Linked DNA regions of Callithrix jacchus. The protein of the gene in region 4 interacts with the protein of the main gene of each other region in a pairwise test. Links are inferred from orthologs where the notes say so. Each region holds a gene or a part of one and is shown on either strand. Other genes may lie near its edges.

What was found.
Region 1: the proteins of SRC (region 4) and RARA interact in a two-hybrid assay, tested with the Homo sapiens proteins (2 studies listed by BioGRID). The link is inferred for Callithrix jacchus from reciprocal best matches to the Homo sapiens genes SRC and RARA.
Region 2: the proteins of SRC (region 4) and VDR interact in a two-hybrid assay, tested with the Homo sapiens proteins (2 studies listed by BioGRID). The link is inferred for Callithrix jacchus from reciprocal best matches to the Homo sapiens genes SRC and VDR.
Region 3: the proteins of SRC (region 4) and ESR2 interact in a two-hybrid assay, tested with the Homo sapiens proteins (2 studies listed by BioGRID). The link is inferred for Callithrix jacchus from reciprocal best matches to the Homo sapiens genes SRC and ESR2.

Annotation. Positions count from the first base shown.
Region 1 is NC_133506.1:92,929,840-92,933,403, reverse strand, and holds part of RARA (retinoic acid receptor alpha), read left to right. Parts: intron 1-512; 5' UTR 513-861; coding exon 862-1,039; intron 1,040-3,564. UniProt on the Homo sapiens protein: Receptor for retinoic acid. Retinoic acid receptors bind as heterodimers to their target response elements in response to their ligands, all-trans or 9-cis retinoic acid, and regulate gene expression in various biological processes.
Region 2 is NC_133510.1:2,199,055-2,203,073, forward strand, and holds the start of VDR (vitamin D3 receptor), read right to left. Parts: upstream 2,852-4,019; 5' UTR 2,379-2,851; intron 1,921-2,378; exon of another isoform or gene 1,588-1,920; intron 701-1,587; exon of another isoform or gene 626-700; intron 1-625.
Region 3 is NC_133509.1:98,892,823-98,896,386, reverse strand, and holds part of ESR2 (estrogen receptor beta), read left to right. Parts: intron 1-1,201; coding exon 1,202-1,382; intron 1,383-3,332; coding exon 3,333-3,519; 3' UTR 3,520-3,564.
Region 4 is NC_133506.1:32,839,189-32,842,752, reverse strand, and holds part of SRC (proto-oncogene tyrosine-protein kinase Src), read right to left. Parts: intron 2,733-3,564; coding exon 2,656-2,732; intron 1,871-2,655; coding exon 1,717-1,870; intron 1,563-1,716; coding exon 1,431-1,562; intron 1,143-1,430; coding exon 934-1,142; 3' UTR 1-933. UniProt on the Homo sapiens protein: Non-receptor protein tyrosine kinase which is activated following engagement of many different classes of cellular receptors including immune response receptors, integrins and other adhesion receptors, receptor protein tyrosine kinases, G protein-coupled receptors as well as cytokine receptors.

The DNA.
Region 1 (3,564 bases), about 60 Mb from region 4:
ACAAACTTGTCTGGGGTGCTGGGGCTTAGATTTGGCAGGGGGGAAGTGGTGTAAGAGGGGCCCCCTGGCTTAAGAGTCATTTTTCTGAGAAGTACCAATGCTTTAGGGAAGCAGCTTTTCCTCCCCCTCCCTCTTCCCCACAAGCACACGTTCTCTGCATCTTGACCTCAGGTAACCCTCACTGGGGGAAGGAGGGCCAGGTGCCTGCTTCTACTATAGTGATCCCTTGAGGTGGCACTGTGGACTCTTTCCCCTCAGGATTGGTGGGGAGAGGGCCTTCAAGTCTCTGAGTTCTGTCCGTGTCTCCCCAGCCTGCCTGTGCTATCCTGCCACCCCTAGCAGTGTCTGGGCCCTGCTTCCAGGTCATCTCTGCCAGCCAGGCATGGTGCCAGCTGTCTGCTCAGCTGGGTGCCACGGGAAAATATCCAGCAGCTCAGGTCGGGGAGCTCCACGGGGAATGCCCATGTGCCTGTTCCTCAGTGCCCACTCACCTGTCTTTCTTCTTTCTGCAGCATCACAGGACATGGCCCCCTCAGCCGCCTAGCTGGGGCCCATCTAGGAGTGGGATCTTTTTTGGTGCCCTGAAGGCCAGCTCTGGACCTTCCCAGGAAAGTGCCAGCTCACAGAACTGCTTGACCAAAGGACCGGCTCTTGAGACATCCCCCAACCCACCTGGCCCCCAGCTAGGGTGGGGCTCCAGGAGACTGAGATTAGAGGACAGCAGCTCCAGGACAGGGCGGGTGGGTTGACCACCCAAACCCCGTCTGGGCCCAGGCCCCATGCCCCGAGGAGGGGCGGTCTGAAGCCCACCAGAGCCCCCTGCCAGACTGTCTGCCTCCCTTCTGACTGTGGCCGCCTGGCATGGCCAGCAACAGCAGCTCCTGCCCGACACCTGGGGCCGGGCACCTCAATGGGTACCCGGTGCCTCCCTACGCCTTCTTCTTCCCTCCTATGCTGGGTGGACTCTCCCCACCAGGCGCTCTGACCACTCTCCAGCACCAGCTTCCAGTTAGTGGATATAGCACACCATCCCCAGCCAGTAAGTCTGGGTGTCGGGGGAAAGGGGGTGGGAGGGGACCGTGGAGGGCGGTGGGCCTCAGAGCTTGGGCTCTGGACATGTCTGTTCTGCTGTGAGTGGAAGGCACGGTGCTCTGCATCTTCTCCAGTTGGGGTGACCGTCCTTTGAGATCTTGAAAATGAAAGCCCTATGGCCTTTAGGCCAATCATGGTGGCTGTGTTTGAAGTTGGGGGTGGCAGAGGGGGAGATGAAGCCATGCTATTCTGGCCTGCAGTGGCGCTCACACCCCTCTTCTGTGCTATGCTGTTGGGGCCTTATAAAATAGCTCCAAGGACTGGACACAGAGGCTGGAGGTGGGTAAACAAACCTCTTGATGTTTGATGGAAATGGCAGCTCTACCTAGAGTGAGAGCAGCACACCACCTACGCCCCACCCTGACTCGGTGCCTCTGAGGGAAAGGGCTTCAAGGAGCAGACGGAGGAAGGCTGGCTGGAACCCCACCTCTACCCCTGCCAGCTCCACCCCCTGGCTATGCTAGGATGTGCTTCCTTTTGTGGGGAGGATGAGAGGGAGGGGCCCATGGTCTGGCCGGGTGAATAGGGTGAGTGTCCCAGGAGGGGACACTTGGCCTGGACTCTGGCCCCGGATGCATGCGTGGTCTTGGCAGGGCATGTGTTTTCTTTGTCTCCACCCTCTGCCATGGGGGGGTCACTCGTTGGCAGGGCAGGGGTCTCAGTACCCTTCGCTGGCTGGCCGAGCCAGGTAGTGGGAGGTGGCAGCAGCTATGGCCAGCTGGCAGAGTCCAGGGCTGGGGCCTGCCAGGCCGCTTACAGTAACTCTGGCCCCCAGGGCCCAGCTGGGCGCCAGGCCAGAGCTGGGGGGAGGAGGGAGCAGGGGCCTGGCCTGGGACAGGAGGGGGTGGAAGCAGCAGAATGGGTCATGGGCTGCTGGCTGGCCAGCCAGTCAGCTGTTGACCTGAGAAATGTGTCCCACCTCTTCTGGCCGGCAGGGACTGCACACCCTGCCCTGGGCACCCACCACCCTCTCAGGCTGTGGGCAAGCTGCCTGGCACCACTGCCCTGTGTGCCTGGCTGGGCTGGGTCAGTGCCCCCCTCTCAGTATGGGGGCAGCGCTCTCTCCCCGGAGCCAGGGAGTCTCTTTGTCCCTGGGGCAGGCCCTGGCTGGGCGCCTCACTGCCCGCACTGGCTGGCTGCCCACCGCCACCACTGCTTCCTGGATTGCCTCCTCTGGCTTAGCTGTGGCCCCCTCCCTCCCAGACTCCACCAGCCACCAGGAGCAGGGGCTCTATGTCTGTGTTCTTTACGTTCCCCACCCTTTCTGCTCTGGGGCCAGTGGGCAGGCAGGTGCTGTCTCAGTTTCTCTTGCCACCCCTTATCAAACCTTTGTCTTCTGTTTCTGCTGTCTCTTCTCTTCACCTCACGTAGGAGTGTGGGATGGATAGAAACTGGGGACTCTGATTTTTGTTTGGTCCTCCAGTCTGTGTTAGTGATGGATAGAGGCCAGCCTCTGGGGTTTAGGGTTGCTGGGGAATGAGTTGGTGTATCTTTGTAGAATATTCACTGCATTTAAAGGGACTGTGATTTATATTCTGGGATTGGGCCACTGGAACTAGAAGAATGTCTAGCTTCCTGACAGGGTAGGATTTTATTTTTACTTTTTAAGGCAGGGTCTTGCTCTGTCATCCAGGCTGGAGTGTAGTGGCACCATCTTGGCTTACTGTAGTCTCTGCCTCCCAGGTTCCAGAGATTCTCATGCCTCTGGCTCCCAAATAGCTGTGATTATAGGTGGGTGCCATGTACCCAGCTAAATTTTTGGTATTTTTAGTAGAGATGGGGTTTTATCATGTTGGCCAGGCCAGTCTTGGACTCGTGCCCTCAAGTCATCTGCCTGCCTCAGCCTCCCAAAGTGTTGGGATTACAGGTGTGAGCCACCACGCCTGGCTTTCTTTTTTTTACATAGGGTTTCACTCTGTCTCCCAGGTGGGAGTGCATTAACATGATCACAGCTCACTGCAGGCTTGATCTCTTGGGCTTAAGGTATCCTTGGGCTTAAGGCATCCTTGGGAGTAGCTGGGACTACAGGTGTGCATCACCGCACCAGGCTAATTTTTTGATTTTTCAGAGACAAGGTCTTACCATGTTGCCCAGGCTGGTCTCAAACTCCTGAGCTCAAGCAGTCCTCCTGCCTTCGCCTCAAAGTGCTGGAGATATAGGCATGTGCCACTGCATCCAGCTCAGGGTAAGATTTTTGAGAGAGGAGAAGTTGGGGACCTGCGACCTGGTGCTTGTGGACAACTTGTCCTAACCCAGGTAATGGCAACAGAGTTCCCAGACACTCTCTCCACCTGCAGCCTGGGCTCACTGAAGGGTTGGAGGTGGGGGCAGGGGCCTGGCCCGTCCTTGCCCATCCTGGCCAGAGGGAGCAAATGCTTTGCCCTCCCCTGAATGTTGCAAGCTTCTTCCTCTTTCTTAGAGATGGGTGGGGAGGGCTTCCCATCCTGGTAACCTTCTCCCCAAATATGGGTG
Region 2 (4,019 bases), on a different chromosome or scaffold from region 4:
CAACCTCATCGTCCCCTCATCACTGCTATGACCTCTGCTGGGTTTGGAGTGGTCATCACTAGGATGATGAATGTTCCATTTTTCCCTGGGCAGTTTGGCTTTGTGTCCATTGTCCTGGTATAACCATGCACCGCATCCCTTTTCACTCTCGAAAGTATCCCAGTTTGCAAGATACATTACACAGGGACTCTTTCTCGCATATCCAGGAGGGCACTGACACAGGAAAAGGTTAGGGACAAATCAGAGAGAAGCAGAACAAGAAGCGGGGCATGGTGGCCTAGAGTGACAGCCAGGCTGGCTTCAGCCAAGCTGGATCCTCTCAGAACTGGACAATAGTGGAGGGAGAGCCTGAGAATTGCTGCCCACCCTGGGGCTCAAATCGTCTTGGAGTCAGGGGCTGGTCTGGTGAGTTCTGCTTCCTGCCATCCCTCAGAGGGCCTGGAGTCATGCTGGGTGCACAAGAGACTCCGAATCAAATCCCGTCAATTCTTTACTTCCCTCTGCCTGCATCCAAAACAGAGCTGCAGCAGGGACACATGGATGCTGGAGCCCTGTAATTCCTTATTCAGCAACACACCAAACGTCATCCAGGTGCTCCTCCTGTCTCTGGCTCTCTGGCCTCTAGGACCTGACTGCTGCACAGGCAACGGCGAGTTTCCAGCAGACGTTCCAGAGGCCCACCCCACCCAGGACAGAGTGAAACAGTGGAAACTCCCTTTCCTGTCTTAGATAACCACCTGATGTAGCCCACTTGACCCCAGGCCTTTCTCCATTGACAGCCTGGGCTTTGGACACCTGTTCTAGGGGTAGAGTGTAGGGGTCCCAAAGGTCTTCTTGGAGCCTCCTCTGGGACTTAGTTACAAAAGAGATCAGGTCCGAGGTCAAATAGGGGAAGACTGAGAAACCATAAACATAAATTATCAGGGCACCCCAAACAGTACCTGACCTTCCATAATGTTTATACAAACGAAGTCTTTGGCCTCTGCTGAAGAGGAGCAAAGGGTTGGGGAAGCTTTCTAACTATCATTTTTCCTCCTCCTTTCTTACCCCATTTTCAAGTTCCTTCTTTAGCTTGGTAAGGGTCCAAGTCACAGCTGATCAGGAGCAGCCAAACCCAAAGCCATGGGATCCAGCCAGAGCACAGACTGTGAATTCCCCAGCTTTTTGCAGTTTGAATCAGCCTCACAGCCTGGTTGGCCTCCCAGGACTCTTCTCAAATAGGTCCAGAGATGTTAGTGAGTGGGGGCCGTGGACTCTGCAGGGAGGGCGACTTCTGCTCAGGGTCTCTAGCACCCAAAACAAAAGCCAGGGAGAAATGCACAGTCTTACCACCTCCTGGTGGGGCTGCATGCCAGCCCTGAAGCTGTTTCAGAAAGACCCACAGTTGCCTCCAGCACTTGGACAGTGAAAGGATGGCAGAAGTCCTCTCAACACACAACACTCTCAGTTCACAGAATTGAGGCTCCAGTGTTCAGACGACCCATCTCTACCTCAGCAAACCAGCCCACTCCCCAACCTGGGTTAAAACCTCGTTTGCCGACACCATGACTTCCCTGGTCCCAGACTTTCCCAGTTTCTTCTGCTCACCCACTTCACTAGCAGAGATGGGCCGCTGACAAGACCACTAGGCAGAAATGGAATGAAAGGCTGGAAAAGCCTGCAGTGCTGAGATCCCAGGAGAGAGGTGAGATGTGGATTTATCACAAAGCCACTGTCCCTTCACAGTGACCTCCTGCTGGAATCATCCCATTGCCATTCCACAATCACTGCCGTGTTGGCGTCTGAGCCCTTGCCATGAGGAAGACCACCTTCCAGCAGGGAGCTGGAGCAGAGCCGAACTCTGCCCAGGAGAGCTTCTGCAATGCTCAGAAAATGCCTGCTCAATTGCTTGCCTGGGCTCTGGCCCCTTTGGCTGCAACTGAACCCAGACAGGAGGCTGACTCACTCACCGCACGCATAGAGGAGGAGGAGGAGGAGGAGGAGGAGGAACAGGAGGAGGAGGAGCTGAGAGAAGGGCCTGGGCTGGGAGACCCAAGTCTCCGCCAGCCCAGGCTGGGTCTCTGACTCTGGTCCCTGGGTGAAGAGAAGGAGGGACAGTTGTCCACTGGCCCTGGAGACCACAGGCTGTTCCCGCCTAGATACTTCTGAATCTTCCTCACCGCCACCTACAGAAACAGGGCACCTCGCTTCCCAAACAGAAACCACTCCCTGAGCCCCTTCCTCATTTAAATGCTTGCCCCTGAGATCCTCTGAACATCTATTGACAGGCTGTCTTGGAAAAACAGGGCGATTTAAGTCTAAAATCATTGGTAGTTCAAAGAAAAATCAAGAAAAAAATTACTTAAAAGACCCAACTCCACCATCGCAGGTGACCGTACCTGAGCCCTGTGAGATAAATGAGGCTACACGCCCTCCGCTCCGCAGCCCTGAGCGCCATCGACAGCCAATCGCTCCTTTTCTTGTTCCTCACTCCATGCCAAGGCGCCCCGGCAGAGGAAGGAAACAAATGCTTCTTGTTGCCCAAGTGCTGAGCCCGGCGCTGGCGGAGCATTTCTCCTTTAAGCTGCCTGAGCACTGAGGATGTCGCCACCCTCCTCCCCAGCCTGGCACGAACTTCGGCTTTCTCAAACCTCAGTGCCCCCTTAGTGTCCCAGCCTCATGGCACAGCAGCCGGGATCTCGGTCGCCAAGTTTACCGCGGAGACTTGGACTCTAATGCTCGCACCCGTGCACTCACGCCCCGGTACCCCCGACGCCCCGACCTCGAGCCCCTATCCTGAGACCCCCTTCCGTACTTCTCCCGGGTCCGCACCTGGTCCCGCCGGCGGGTGGACAAGCTGTTCCGCGCTCCCGGCGCCCACGGCTCGGCAGCCGCCTTTTGACAAGCAGAGACAGCCCAGCACCTGGCCCCGCCCCTCGAGCGGGCCCCGCCCCTTTCCCCGCCCCTCGAGCAGGCCCCGCCCCTTCCCCGCCCCTCAAGCAGGCCCCGCCCCGCCCTCGGCCCCGCCCACAGGTCCCGTCCTCTCCTGCCTGGAGTTCGGTCTGCCCCGCAACCATCTTGACTTGGAATCATCCGCCCCGCTGTCGCCTTAGAGACTCTGCCTCGTGAAACTTTCATCGACCGTCGCCCATGGGGCAAGGTTCGCTCCTGCCCTGTGCGGGACAGAGTTGCCGATGAATACAGAGGAGCAGATCCCCGCCTCAGCCTGCGTTATTCGGGGACGCAGCCCCCCACCCTTCCAGCCTGCTGCGGACCCCGGGCCGGGTGCGTCACCCCCACCTGGGCCCGCGGGACGCTGGGGGGCGCCTGCCGACGGGCACGGGTGGGAAATCGCGTTCCTGCTGCAGAAAGCCGGGAAGCTCAGCCTGATCCCGCAGACGGGGGTAAAAGATCCCGGGGGCCCAAGTGGAAACTGGAGTCGCGTCATCGCCCCCACCGAGGTCACCTCAGCAGCGACCGCGGCTGACCACGTTCCCGGCCTGTCGCGAATTTCACCCAAGGGAGCTGAGTCTCAGCTTCCCTGGTCCCCAGTCCCCAGTTCCCCCTTCCCCGCCGTGGCATCGGCCTGAAGGGAAGAGATAAAGAATCCATCCTGTGTGTGGCTGCGGAAAATACACACAGAAAAGTTGGGCTAAAAGTTACTCACTGCTCCCCTTGACGGTGTGCTAGGCACCGCCCTAGGTGCCAGGGGAGAGGTGAAAAAGATGGGGTTCCCTCCTTCTCAGAACTCACTGTGCAGTGGGAGAATGTACAAATAAGTAGTAATCACAACATAATCTTCTGGAATAGAAATGCCCACAAAATCATCCAGCAGCTGATGATTAGCCAGAGAAGATATCGCTATTCCCCTCTTACAGAGGAGGAAACCATGGCTTAGAGGGTCAACGTGAAAGGCTGGGAAACTGAGGCATAGAAAGGTTAAGTGATTTGCCCGACATGACAGCTTATCAGTGAGGACTAGTGCTAGAGCCCAGCAAGTCTGCTGGTGCAATGGTCTCTGAACCGTTTCTGAAACAGCT
Region 3 (3,564 bases), on a different chromosome or scaffold from region 4:
CAGTTTGTGGAACAAAGTGGGGGGCAGGGGTTGGAGAAGCAGATTCAGGGATATTGAAAAGATGAATATTTTAAATCTGCATCATCAGTCATTATGGAGATCCCTAGGGATGTGGCAAAGCACTACACTTACGTAATTGTGCTTCAGTATGTCCCTTGCCTTAACTGAGTTGAACTTAGTTAAATTGAGCTGCCTTAATTGAACTGAAAGTGCCAATAAAAATAGAACAAAAACTGCCAAAACAAATTCTGTGGATGCTGGAGCACCAGCCATATTCAGTCTCATGACAGCCAAGACTCAGCAGCTCCCTTGTCGATTTCACATATTTGTTATTTATTCTTGATTTGAAATTAAAAGCCTGGAAGAGAAGCTAATTATTAAAGGGAATCAAGGAGTCAGGCAGCGGTGGGGGTGGGGTGGGGAGGAGGAGATTTAGGTGAGCTGTTATTTTGCTGCAATTGGGACGCCACAGTATCTCAATCCTAGAGTTGGAGGGCAGTTAAATGCAGGGCAGGGCAGGATAGGGGAGGCAGACTACCCGGGCGTGGTTGTGGGGACCTAAGGAGATGTGTTCCTGCACGTGATGCTGTATGAGGAACTGAGGCTCAGAGAAATCCAGATGGTGGATAAAAGGTAGGTCCATCTGACTCCAAATTGGTGGTCTTCCTGCTCCAGCCAGGTGCCACACAGTGAGATGTAGAGGTGGCAGCAGGGGCCCTGCTGTGGCTGTCCAAGGCACGTGGTACACACAGGAGGTAGCAGAGGAGGCTTCACACACTGGCCATTCCTTTATTAAACTCTCTTTAGATGGGGAGCCCTCCCTGGGGCTAAGAGTAGAACTGCTCTCACCTTCTGACCATCTCTGTGTATCTGTTACTGCAGATGAGAAACACCATATAATGGTTTCAGGGGACTAGATATACTTGCATGGCAAGGCCATAATTATGGGCCCGGTGAGTACTTCAAGGGGACATTTAGTCTGTCTGCATTAAGCCAGGCTTCTCTTCTAGCTCTGTGATGCAGCTGGCTCTGAGAGACGAGCCCTTGGGGAGGTAAGACCATGCTTATAATAAGATCCTGCCACACATGCAGATGTCAGAGCAACCCAGATCACCTTGGAGTAGGCACGCTGTACAGCTGAGCACATGACTTCCACTCCTCTGCTCAGAGCAATGACTTGTGGCTTTTATTCTTTGTCCAGGTATGTACCCTCTGGTCACAGCAACCCAGGATGCTGAGAGCAGCCAGAAGCTGGCCCACTTGCTGAATGCCGTGACTGACGCTTTGGTCTGGGTGATCGCTAAGAGTGGCTTCTCCTCCCAGCAGCAGTCGGTGCGCCTGGCTAACCTCCTGATGCTCCTGTCCCACATCAGGCATGCGAGGTATGCGCCTTCGGGAGCTGCTCGGCTCAGGCGTGGGGTGGGATTATGTGCTCAGAGGAGGGTGAAGGGATTTGGGAAGTGTTTGAAAGCTAAGGAAAATGAATGCCTGAAAGGGAATGGGGGATTTGTCAGCTTACACACCTGTAACCAAAGATGGGCAGAGTGGGCATTGAAGGAATGTCACGTGGTATCTTTCAGGATCTTCACAGCATCCAGTGGTGGCTCATCTGTTTTTCAGTTGCTGGGTTTATAGCCTGTTTATGGAGTCCTAAAAGGGGCAGTTCCTCCCCTTACATGAACTGCCACCCCTCTTTATACCACCCAGGGCTGAGGCCCTGAAGTCATTTTTTTGTGGAGAGGCTCAGACCTCTACTAGATGGCCCTTTAAGCTGGTGATATGGAGAAGTGCACAAAGGCTTCCCTAAGAGTTGTTCTTTTGATGGCATCAGGAAATTAAGGACAAGACCTAAGAGAAGTGGTATGCCCAACAGATGTAGGAAGGCAGAGCTGAGGGTATGGCATGTTTCTGATCAGGAAATGTAATGGTGTGTGGTGGTGGCTACTGCCAGGACAGTGATGCTCAGTGCTTGGTGTCACCCAGAATGGAGGGTAGACTTACCCTGGAGCTCGAGGAGGGAAGTCGAGAAGGGAAGGTAATTAAGTGCTCACTGAGGAGCAAGTATAAAGACTGTGGGGAAGGACGATATATACCCCAAGAATCTTCTTTTTTTTTTGAGATGGAGTTTTACTCTTGTTGCCCAGACTGGAATGCAATGGCGCCATCTTGGCTCACTGCAACCTCCGCCTCCTGAGTTTGAGGGATTCTCCTGCCTCAGCCTCCCAAGTAGCTGGGATTACAGGCATGTGCCACCATACCCAGCTAATTTTGTATTTTTAGCAGAGATGGGGTTTCACCAGGTTGGTCAGGCTGGTCTCGAACTCCCGATCTCAGGTGATTTACCCGCCTTAGCCTCCCAAAGTGCTGGGATTACAGGCTTGAGCCACCACACTTGGCCTTCACCTCAATAATCTTAAAAAGCAAGAGGAGAGGAAGAAGACTTCTGCCTGTTTCCCCTTTAATGGTTACTCAGCACACAACCATTTTGTTTGTAGATACACTTGATCCTGTGTTTGTAGATTCCTTAATTGTGAATTTATCTGCTTCCTAAAATTTACTTGTAACCCCCAAATCAGTATTCATGGTGTGTTTTTGAGGTCATTAACAGTGGCAAAAATTTTGAGTCACCCTCTATGCACAGTCCCAGCTGAGATGGAACAAGCAGCTGCTCTCCTACTGTAAACAAGTGTCCTTTATTTGGTCTACTTAGCGTCATGGTTTTACATTTTTGTGCTTTTGGTGGGCAACTTCACTGTTTAAATGGGGCCCCTGGTGTGGTGCTGAAGAGCTGTCTAGTGTTCCTCAGTGTGAAAAAGCTGTGATGTGCCTTATGGAGCAAGTATGTGTTAGATACGCTTTGTTCGAGCCTGAGTTACAGTGCTGTTGGCCATGAGCCTAATGTTAATGAGTCAACGATATTAGATGAGGCATCTTTAAAAAGAAACACACATGCAACAAGGTTTTGTGATTAGCCAATGAAGATGTGACCAGAGGCTTGCAGGAACCTAACCCCGTGTTTCCCCTAGGAGTGATAATTCAGTGTTCACAGTGACGTTGTGGAACATAATTGCTGCAAATAATGAGAATCGACTGTCCTATGTGCCAGGCCATTGCGGGTGTGTGGTGGGGCACAGAGGCTGATAGGACACTCCTTGCCCTTGAGCATAAATTATCAGGGGGAGCTGGATGCATGTGCCATGGAGCAATGGGCTGGCAGAAGTGTGGGATTAGGGGTGGGGTAGACTGGCTGTGCGCAAAGAGAACTGGGGAAGGGTTTGGTGTCCTGTGGCTATCTCAGAGGAGGGAATCTCAGCACCTTTTTGTCCCCATAGTAACAAGGGCATGGAACATCTGCTCAGCATGAAGTGCAAAAATGTGGTCCCAGTGTATGACCTGCTGCTGGAGATGATGAATGCCCACGTGGTTCGCGGGTGCAAGTCCTCCATCACGGGGTCCGAGTGCAGCCCGGCAGAGGACAGTAAAAGCACAGAGGGCTCCCAGAACCCACAGTCTCCGTGACGCCTGGCCCTGAGGTGAACAGGCCCACAGAGGTCACAGGCTGAA
Region 4 (3,564 bases):
ACAAGCTGATTGAAGCCTCTCTCTCCACACCTGCACCTTTCACCCTGACTCCCAGCTCAGACCCACATCTGCCTCCATGCTGTTCCCCAACAGCCCGGCCGAGCAGGCAGCGGCAGTGCGATTCTGCCATCTCGAACGCATCCTCAGATCCCTTGTCCCCTGGGTTGTCCCAGTCTTTTCGTGATGCCTCCCACGAACTGTTGGTTCCTGAGGAAGACAGAGGGAGCACCGGTTCCAAGCCGCCTCCACTCTGAACTGCTCTGTGGCCTTGGACACGTCACATCCCCTCTCTCGACTGTCTCCCCATCAGTGAAATGGGGGCAAGGAAGTGATGATCTCCAAAGGTGCCTCAGGTCTAAGGAGGCAGGGTTTGAGGGGTACTCATCCTACTGCCCAGCCTGGGAGCAGCGGCAGAGGATCCATCTCGGCTGCCTCTGCCTACAGGTGTTTCCAGAATGGATGGCAAGGGGCAGGATGGTGAGCAGGCGGGGCCAGGGGCCCATCGCTCCTCTTTGGAAAGGCTCTTTGGCCAGCTCTCGAGACAGATTGGGGGTGGCACGGAAGTGGGCAAGGAGTTCAGTGAGTGGAGTAGGCTGAGGCTGGAAAAGGCCATCCTCAGGCCCGGCCCCAGCCCTTCTCCCGGTTCCTCCTCCAGAGACCCACAGAGCTCCAGGAGGGAGTGCAAGGAGGGGCGTGTGGCTAGAGTGGGCGCTGGACAGTCACTGTGCTGGTCTCACACGCCTGCCGCCCTCTCAGGCCACCCTAGGTCCGGAAGCCCCTTCCATGCCGCCAAAGAGGGAGGGGCCTCGAGCCTGGCAATTCAGCCCCACAGAGAGAGGACCAACAGCAGGCAGGCAGAGCAGGGCGAGCCCCAAGACAGGGGCCACCCAGCCCAGGATCCAAGCCGAGAAGCCAGTCTGGGCCCGCCCGTGCCTAGAGGTTCTCTCCAGGCTGGTACTGGGGCTCAGTGGACGTGAAGTAGTCCTCCAGAAAGGCCTGCAGGTACTCGAAAGTGGGCCGCTCCTCAGGCTCTTTCCGCCAGCACTGGCACATGAGGTCGTGCAGGGACTCAGGACACTCGGGCGGGCAGGGCATCCGGTAGCCCCGCTCCACCTGGTCCAGCACCTCTCGGTTCACCATCCCTGTGGGCAGAGTGAGGCATGGGAAGCCTGGCTCCAGTAAGGAAAGTGGGGTGCGGGAAGCTGATGGGGAGGATGGTGAGGGCTTCCTGCCTAGGCCAGGTTGGGTGCAACCATGGGTAGGTCCCGTCCCCGAAGCTGAGAGCATGGACCATCAGGAGAGCCTAAGATCAGGTGCTCAACTTCTTTGTTGTATGGATGGGGAAACAGGCCCAGCAGGAGTCAGGTCTTACCCAAGGCCACCAGGGCAAGGGCTCAGGGACTAGAGACGGGCCGGGAGGACCTTCTTACCAGGGTAGGGCACCCGCCCCTTTGTGGTGAGCTCCGTCAGCAGGATCCCGAAGGACCACACATCCGACTTGATGGTGAACCGGCCATAGAGGGCAGCTTCCGGAGCCGTCCACTTGATGGGGAATTTGGCACCTGCAGGAACGAAAAAGGTCAGGGCAGCTCTGACCTGTCGTGACTGCTCCACCAGGTGAGCACCATGAGGAATGACAGATAAGGAAACTGAGGCTTGGGAGAGGACGTGACCTGCCCCAGGCTGCACGCCCCGTGCCACGAAGCCCCTGCCCACCTTGCCGGGCTGTGTACTCATTGTCTTCGATGAGCCGAGCCAGCCCGAAGTCGGCCACTTTGCACACCAAGTTCTCTCCCACCAGGATGTTGGCTGCACGAAGGTCCCGATGGACGTAGTTCATCCGCTCAACATATGCCATGCCAGAGGCGATCTGCAGGCAAAACCATGGGAGCCCAGCTCAGGTGCCACCCATGCCCTCCCAGGACCACAGGGCACCCAGGGCTGGAGAGCCATCCACCCCTCCCCCACCATCCCATGCTTCTTCAGGCAAGTGAGGTCAGTTCACGGTAAATGCTGTTGGCATCAAAAGCAGGAGCAGTGCTCCGCAGGAGGAGGGAGCACAGGGGCAGAGGGGAGAGAGCAAAGGGCAATGGGGAGGCCCGAGATCAGATGCAGCCAGGAAAGTGAGGTGACCATGGAAAGAGGCCCCAGCGGACCCAGACACAGACAAGTGGACAAGTGCCATGCCCTGCCTGCTGCCCAAGTCTCCTCTCTGAGCCTGTTTTCTCATCCATCCAATGGGAATAATAGCCAATCCTCGTCACTCCTGATGAAAAATGCTTGTCAAGCACTGCCTAAAGTCAGCACAAACACATGTCTGCTGAGTGACTAAATGACTATTGAGATGACAACTGAGTACATCAGTTGTACTGATGTACAGGGGACCTCGGGCCTCAGTTGTCATCTCTATAAAGGTGACCCCTGATATTAGTCAGTGACCCCTGATGCCCAGGTAAGGGCTTTCTGCTGCCCAGAACCACCGCTTAGGGTGCCTGTAAGTGGACCTGGTAAATACGTGTGGCAAGATCAGTGAGTGTGGGGGTAATCAAGGCAGGCTTCCTGGAGGGGGCACTCAAGAGGCCAGAACTGGCTGCACCAGATGGGTCTGGGTGCTTGAGGACCAAGGGTGTGGGGAGAAGGGAGGGGCTGACTAACCTGAGCAGCCATGTCCACCAGCTGAGGCAGCCGCAGGTACTTGCCCGTTTCCCCCTTGAGAAAGTCCAGCAAACTCCCTGGGCAGAGAAAGACCCAGCTCCAGTTCCTGCCCTGTCCCTCTGCCAGGATGCAGTGATTCCCAAACCTGTCCTCCCAGGTGGCTAGCCTTGCTATAACCAGCACAACAGATTTTATGTAAACTCATCTCTCAATAAAGTGCTTGTCACTCAAAAGGCAAGCAGGTTGGGAAACGACCAGATGCGCACCTCCAGGTGAACAGGTAAACTGTGTTAATGCGGACAATGGCGTCCTGCTCAGCGACAACGGGAACTAACTGCTGGGAGATGCCACAGGGACGCATCTCAGGCTGGGCACGGTGGCTCCTGCCTGCAATCCCAGCACTTTGGGAGACCAAGGCGGGAAGATCATTTAAGCCCAGGAGTTTGAGACCAGCCTGAGCTACACAGTACAAAAGATATAAACAAAAAAAAAAATTAGCTGGGCGTGGTAGGGTACACCTATAGTCCCGGCCACTTGAGAGGCTGAGATGGGAGGATCAATTGAGCCTGGGAGGTCAAGGCTGCACTGAGCTGTGATCACGCCACTGCACTCCAGCCTGGGCAACAGAGTGAGTCCTTGTATCAAAAAAATTTAAAACATTTAAAATTTAAAAAGTTAAAAAAAAAAGGATGCATCCCAGATGTAAAATATTTCATGTATGAAATTCTTGAATAAACAAAACAGATTGATAATGACAAAGTATATCAGTGGGTGCTTGGGTTTGGGGTTGGAGGGTGCTGTCTGCAAAGGGCCCAAGGAACTTTCTGGGTGATGGGGCTGTTGCTATCCCCATTATGGTGAGAGCACACAGTAAACCCACTTGTTACAACCCATTGAACTGAATACTTA